Schizosaccharomyces pombe: one gene and its partner. The gene in region 1 interacts genetically with each later gene. Each region holds a gene or a part of one and is shown in the gene's direction. Other genes may lie near its edges. The genes, in order: exg3 and fus1.

Region 1 (3,929 bases):
AGGTAATTATATCTCACAATTGGAAGTTCTATGAACCAACTATGAAAGACGCTGACGCTCCTCAACACGGTGCCGATGTAGCACGTCTAGTTGGTGAGCAATTACCTCTTCCTTCGTCTGCTGCCGCCAGTCTTAGGGGTTATAGTGTTTTTGCTCCAGGTGAATATACTTATAATTTTGATTTAGCTATACCCAATTGTTTTCCCGAATCGGTAGAAGCAAAAATGGGTTGGGTACGATATTTTCTGGAAGCTACAGTAGAAAGATTTGGCACATTTAAAAGTAATCTTAATGGCCGTACCCCTGTCCAACTCGTCCGCACACCATCTCCCGCTAGTCTTTCTTCCTCTGAGCTTATTAATATCTCACGTGATTGGGATGAACGTCTTCACTATGAATTACAGGTTTCTGGCAAGTCGTTTCGCTTAGGTGAGGTAGTTCCTATTACCTTTAGATTTTTACTACTCGACAAGGTTCGCTTATATAAGTTATCCATTTCTGTCGTTGAATCAAGTGAATACTGGTGCCGAAGCCGCAAATTTCATCGTGTTGATCCCAAACGTCGTGTGCTTCTTGCGGAACGCTCTGCCAAACATCAAAACACGGATAACCTGTTTGAAACGCCTGATGAAGGAGATGGTCTTTCTAGCGCTGTTTTCAACTTCAACGTTGCTTTACCTACGTGTTTGGTTAAGGAGCGTGATCGTCTTACCTTTGACACTACTTACAAGTATATCAAAGTTCGACACAGACTGAAGGCATTGTTAGTCTTGTCTATTGAAAACACGGAAAATCCGGAAAAGCGAAAATATTTTGAAATAAATATTGAGACTCCTGTTCGAATTTTGTCATGTCGTTGTGTGAAAGATTCGACACTGCTTCCGCCTTACGAATCATCAAGCCAAGGCGACAATCAAGTTTTGCTTCCGTGTCCATGTAGACTAGCTACGACTCATGTCGAGCCAACTGAAGTAACAGCTTTTACCACACAATCGGTTTTAGCTAGTTCGGCGCCTTCTGCTGGTAGACCAGCTGCAGCCCAAATTTCGCGACCAGCTCAGTTGTTCCGTATTCCGTCTACAAATCCACCTCCTTTTGATGGGGATGTTTGTCCCCCTGCTTGTAACACACCTCCTCCTAATTATGATGAGTTGTTTGACGTTTTGAGTTCAATCAGCATTCAGGATTGCGAAACTGATCGTGCTAACGATGACACTATCTTGAACAATCGTGTTCGACGGAGTGGTACCATTCGAGAAGAGGCTCCTCATCGGTCGTTGTCTCGAACTGTTAGTCGAAGCTTTGAAATCCCTAGGTAATCTAATGCTTGTTAACGGTTATTGTCAAGCGATTTCCCTTAACGGGGAGATTGATATTTTTGTATTTTCTGTTCGAAAGCGCTATAGCTTTTACAACTAGACGTGCGGGTTGGCCAGCCTTTGGTTTACAAAAATTTTTTAATGTTTCGGTATCATATTTTGTGGATTCCATTTATTTATTATCGGGTACCAACTTTACAGATATATCATCGCCTTGGGTTTTCACTAAAAAATTTCCAAGTTTTTATCATCAAAATAGCCCGCTAATATGGCATTTGTGATGAAATTACTTATGTTTTACTTATGTTTTATTTTTGATTTGCGCTTCATTTTGAATGAAATGGCTATATAGCTTTTGAGTTCTACTATTTCTCATACTACTCTTACCGGAGTGCATTTATAATAACTTAGCTAAGCAGCGTTTTTTGTTTACTTTTGTATAATTCTGATTATTGAAAATGTATAATAGCGCATAGTTAGTGTATTGCTGGTTATATGTATCCGTATGTAAGTGTTTAGCATGCACTTTTTGTAAGGGACTCGAAGGAACTTGTTTTGTTATATAGGCGGAAGCTGCAGATGACGTGGTTACCGAATTATTTACTACTGCTTCCACCTTCTTCTTACTTGCATAATTTTAGAACAGCGTATTACGATGGGATTGAATAAACAAGATTTATACATATACAGGAAGCAGTACGGTGTTAATCTTGGTGCTTGGTTTTGCGCCGAAAGATGGATTAATGATTTCTTGTTTACTGGTGAAGGTAGCAGTGAACTTGAAGCAGTAAGTGGTAATGTTAAGGCTCATGGAATAGACAAAGCTAGAGAGAATTTTGAGGCGCATTGGAAAAGTTGGATTGGTATTGAAGATTTTTCTTATATGAAACAGCACTTAGTTAATAGTGTACGAATACCTCTTGGATATTGGTCATTAGGAAATGATGAATTGGTTAAAGGAACGCCATTTGAGCCTTATGCTGAAGTATATCGTAATAGCCTACACATCTTGTGTGAGAAAATTCAAGAAGCAGGAAGCCTTTCGATCGGTGTGCTTTTAGACTTCCATGGGGTGTATGGAGGAGGAAATTGTGACGGACATTCCGGTACATCGTCTGGAAAGGCAGAATTTTATGAAAAGCAAGAATATCAAGACAGAACAGTGGAAGCCGTTAAATTTTTATCGTCGAAGATTGGTCAGTTTGAAAATGTTATTGGTATTCAAGTAATTAATGAACCGATCTGGGGCCAATATGATGTTCTTGCTAATTTCTATCAAAAAGCTCGCTCTGTTGTTCCTTCCTATCTTCCTGTCTATATTGGTGATGGATGGGATAAAGATCGTATGTCAATTCCATATAGTCATATCATTTTCAATGCTAACAGGATACAGATTGGGTGAATTGGGTGAATGATCATGAATCTGAAGGATTCTATGTGGTTGATCATCATAGCTATTTCTGTTTTGGCGGCGAATTATGCCATGCACCCCCAAAGCTTATAACCAGAAGACTTGATACTGGTGAAGAATACGGTAAAACCAAACTTTCCAATATAGTTATTGGCGAATGGAGTTGTACTTTAAGCCAAGAATCATGGAGCCAAACAAAGCTCCACGATAAAAGAAGACGTGACTTTGGTGAAGCTCAACTGAACCAGTATTTGAATTATTGCGGAGGATGCTTCTTTTGGACTTATAAATTCCTTCACGGAAAAGGTGGAGATTGGGATTTTAGATCTGTTGTAGAGGACAAGGTAATCAATTACCCTCCTCCTCCCCCTACCGAAAACAAAGCCATGCCGGCCTTACTTGAACAAAGTCGGGATCAAAACTTTGGTGGACATTGCTATTATTGGGATCAGAAACAACATGATCATCCATATGAACATGATTTATATGTTAAAGGATGGAATCAAGCCTGGGAGGACTACATTGAGTTTCTTCAGCATGGGGCCATGATCGGATTTCCTCGTGCATGGACTCAAAAAAGGATGACAAGTATTTCTTCTGCTTCTGCTTGGGAATATCGTGACGGTATGAATGCGGCCTGGTTGCATCTCGAGCGTATGGGCTTTCTCAATCCTTTTCGTCACCCATAATTCCATAATGTCTGTCTTAATGACCTTTATACTCTATGTTTATGCTTTTGTTTATCCGCACAAAAATTTAATGTGTTTGGTAACCCTCCTGCTAATCTCTATTCCCTTACCCACTTTTTGTCGTTAAATTTTGCTTGTTGTATTCACATCCTTGTTACATATGTTTAATTTTGGTAGATTAAAAATTCTGTTGATTTTCTTTTATAAAATTCTCTAAAAGATAATTAAAGGATTAATATTAACGACTTACTATTGAATTTTTTAATAGAGAAATGAAATAATAGAACGTTTAAATAAAGAATCCAAGCATTTTTCTTTGTTTACATCCTTTGTTTACAATACGCAATCTTAGCATAGTAAAACAAAGAAAGGATACGTAGTAGTGCGTACGTATTTTACCCACACTCGCTTTTTACCGCACTCTTGAACTATATATACATGTACTACCTCGAGCTGGAAGTAGTACAGTAAAATTCGTATATTGCTATTAATCCTTTTTTATCTTATTTA
Region 2 (3,929 bases), on another chromosome or scaffold:
GTGATGGTGGATACGAAGACGATGTGATGAATGTCAAGCCTTCAGTAAACGTATTGTCTAATAGGTTAAATCATTTACCAGTTGAAGCATTGGAATCTTGCTTTCCACAAACCACTTTGGAGTCCTCCACGTTTGCTGATTTTTGTGAGCACAAAGATGGAACCGGTAACTTGTCTTTTAGCAACTTTGATAGCTTTCCCACAGTCCAAAGGTCAAGATATGCAAGTGATTTTGAAGAACTTGAGTTACTTGGTAAAGGCGGTTATGGTTCAGTGTATAAAGCTCGAAATAAATTCGATGGAGTTGAATATGCTTTAAAAAAAATTCCACTTCGGTTACGTTCTTTCTCCACTTCTTCTAACATATTCCGTGAATCTAGGACCTTGGCAAGATTAAACCATCCCAATGTGATAAGATTCTTTTCTAGTTGGGTCGAGCTCTTACCGTCATCTGAAAAGCAAATCGAAGAAGAACCTTTAGCTTCGGCAGATGAGACATTATCTCAATCAGCAGATATAGATAATTTTATGTTTGATATGGATACTGGGTTACTTCAGCATACTTATCCTTCATCAGTTCAGATACTATTCCAAGAGGACTCGGTTGCAGATGATTTAACTCCTTGTTACTCTACCAAAAATTCGACTTGCAACTTGACTGATCTTTTCAAGAAAGAGGCCGATCAGGATTATGCCGAGTCACATGATTGTTCTTCAACAACATCACAAGTCGACACATTAGGAAAGTTGGCGCCAACGAAGTCAGCTTCTGAAATGTTACTTATGGATTCATTTCTATCCGAAAGAGAGGAAGATGAATGTTCCAATATTCCCAGCTTTGATCAACAGCCCTTATGTTTGTACATACAAATGGCTCTTTGCGAAGAAACACTCGAGAAACACATAAACAGACGAAATAAGCATATTCACGGTGTAATGTCTAAAGGCCTACGTAACTGTTATATTTTACTGTTTGCAAGGATTTTAGAGGGCGTTTTGTATCTTCACGATGCTATGCATTTAGTCCATCGTGATTTGAAACCTCGAAATATTTTTCTATCTAGTGGTGTACATTCTGAGCCTTGCTCTGTGTGTCTACCTAATTTTTCTGATGAAGATAATGTTGAGGTTAGCAATGCGTACGAACCAGTGAACCAAAGAACTTTATGTGTTGTGCCCAAGATAGGCGATTTCGGTCTTGTTCTTTCTCAGTCAGATAATTTGGAAGAGGGGACCAACTCCTCAGCTGAATCTTCTTTTGTCGGTACAAGTACGTATGCAGCTCCTGAACTTTTCTCAAAACACATGCGATCGGTAATGAATAACAACTCGTCTACTGACATATATGCATTGGGCATACTCTTTTTTGAATTACTGTATCCTTTTAACACGCGCATGGAAAGGGCATCAGCTATCGCCAATTTAAAAAAGGGCATTTTCCCCCATGATTTCTTGGATTCCATGCCAGAGGAAGCTAGCTTAATCCGGTCAATGCTCAGCTCTTCGAATAAGCGCCCAACTGCTGCTCAACTTTTGACTAGCAATCTATTTCATGATTTGGTAGTCAATGAGCTTCATGTATATCAAGCTTTATTGGAAGATGCTGAGAAACGAAATAACAATTTGAAAGCAGAACTAAACATACTTCGAGTTTTAAACCCCAATTACGACTGTTAGTATTAGTTACGAACTACTTTGGACTGCTTCAATTGTTTTTACAATTCGCTTTTGACAAGATTTAGTTGTTTATGTTATTTTATGTTTATATTTCCTACGTTTTATGTTTATCCACTGTTATGATTTGTTTATAGTGAGTTATCTTCCATGCTCTTGGAATGGTTTTTGGAGCTTTTAGGTGCGAAAGAGTAGTCTGCATTAAAGATTTTTCTTATTTTAATATATTAAATTGAAAGTTCATCTTGTACATTTTTTCGTTGCTAGTTTTCAGTTCAACAGTCTGATTGATTTTTTTAAGTTTTCTTGATCTTGATCTTGTACTCAAAATGTTTATCCTTTTTAATCAAACTGTCTTTCATTTATGGAAAACAAATATCAATCAAGCTATAAATTAAACAGCAGAAGCGATTGTTTAATTTTAGCGTGATAGTAAACTAGCACTTCATTAGGCGCCTTATTCTAAAGACACAGTATGTACGCCACCCTCTCAATGTCTTTTAAAAAACATTTATTAATAAATATAAACTAGAATGGACACTAAACTTATTTCCAGCATTATTCAGTTAATTCTGATATGGACTACTTTCAAGTTGTCGCTTTCCAATTACGTTTGTGTTTGAGCTTGAACTTATCGGAAAACTAAATAGTTTTCGAACACAGTTAGTATTTCTTTGTTCTTTAACGGGTACAATAAAATGGATCGTTGCATATGTAATTGTTGCTTTGAATCATATTACGTCGGTTAAACCGAACAAAGAAAGTTATGTTCTAAATACTCAGTAATTTTCTAGTAAGTCTTTTACCTTACTTCTTATATCTGAACTCAAAAAGGATTGTTTACGAGCAAAAAACCTTGTTTCTGTAATTATAGGACATATTATTGATGGTTTCACCTTTTTTAGCTATTGCTTGTTAATGATGACGGCTAGTTTTAAAGGTATCAGAATCTCTAAACCAATTGTTAAAGAAATTTCATCGTTTGGGTCTCTAACAAACATTGATTTACACACTGACCCATATGAAAAAGTCGAAGCAAAAGCATTATCGCGAAGCAGATTAAAAAACCAAAGCGTAAAGAAAACAGACCTTCGTATTACAAATGATTACTCTTCACTATTTGTGAGTATTGAAAACAAAAAAAACACTATTCCGGATATTCATTGCAACAATTTATCAAAAAGACCTGTTGGATTTACCGATTCATATGTACCAGGCGAAGCGCTTCTATGTCCGGATGACCCGAATTTAGTGAATGAATTATTCGATGATGTTTTAAAAAGATTACGCGAAGAAAAATCTGATTCTGGTGAGCAGTTTCATTGGGACGCGAACGTTACACTCTCTCAAGAAAACAAATGGTCTTTCATCACTGGCTATTTATCGAGAAACGATAAATTTTTAAAAATATCATCAAACGATTCTGAACTAAATGTCAAGGCATCCGTCATTTCCTATATTGAAAAGTTAAGCTGTACACCGTTGAAGCTCAAGTACGTGGAATCTTTGGCGGTTGCATTGAGAACCGAATCAGTTACCTGGGTTCGATATTTTCTTTTGATGGGTGGACACATAGTACTTGCTAAAATATTGCAGGCAATTCATGAGAAGAAACATCTAAAAAGTCCTGACATAACTTTAGAAATTGCAATCCTCAAAAGCATGAGGTGTATTATAGGACAGAAGATTGGGACTGATTTCTATCTGAGTAATAAGTATCCTATCGATTCAGTTGTTCACTGCCTCCTGTCAACTAAATTACTAGTAAGGAAACTAGCTGCCGAATTACTTACTTTTCTTTGTTACTCAGAAAAGCCGAACGGAATCAACGCAATTATGAAATGTATGAAAAACTTTGCAAATTTGAAAGTCGAGTCTATGAACGTCTTTGATTTATGGCTTTCTCAATGGAAAAGAACACTCTTAGAGAAAGTTGTTACTGAAGAAAAGAAAGTACTAGAAGAAGCGGCCTTACATGATAAAATAACTATTGAGTATATCATTTCACAAATGCTTCTTATAAATGCATTTCTTGAAAATATCCCATCTAAAACTGCTTTACTCCAGTTCAAGGAATCCTTGAGAATAGGGAATTTCAAAAGCATTTTACTCATTCTAAAAAAAATAAATGATGAAGGAGTATTAAAACAACTCGAGAAATGCGTGAAACTCGTATCATTAGACACTGCTAATGAGAAACATTTTTTAAAGCACACTCCAAATTCTGCTGCTCATCAATCCCTTTTAAACACAAAC

The links.
Region 2: of exg3 (region 1) and fus1, changing one enhances a phenotype caused by changing the other (phenotypic enhancement), as found in Schizosaccharomyces pombe (one study listed by BioGRID).

What each region holds. Positions count from the first base shown.
Region 1 is NC_003423.3:2,972,854-2,976,782, forward strand, and holds exg3 (cell wall glucan 1,3-beta-glucosidase Exg3), read left to right. Parts: upstream 1-1,958; 5' UTR 1,959-1,974; coding exon 1,975-2,662; exon of another isoform or gene 2,663-2,712; coding exon 2,713-3,419; 3' UTR 3,420-3,751; downstream 3,752-3,929. Other genes in the region: aly2 (arrestin Aly1-like protein), read left to right, coding at 1-1,319.
Region 2 is NC_003424.3:4,816,006-4,819,934, reverse strand, and holds the start of fus1 (formin Fus1), read left to right. Parts: upstream 1-2,148; 5' UTR 2,149-2,591; coding exon 2,592-3,929. Other genes in the region: eIF2 alpha kinase Hri1, read left to right, coding at 1-1,676. UniProt on the Schizosaccharomyces pombe protein: Required for cell fusion. It associates with the pre-zygotic projection tips in conjugating cells.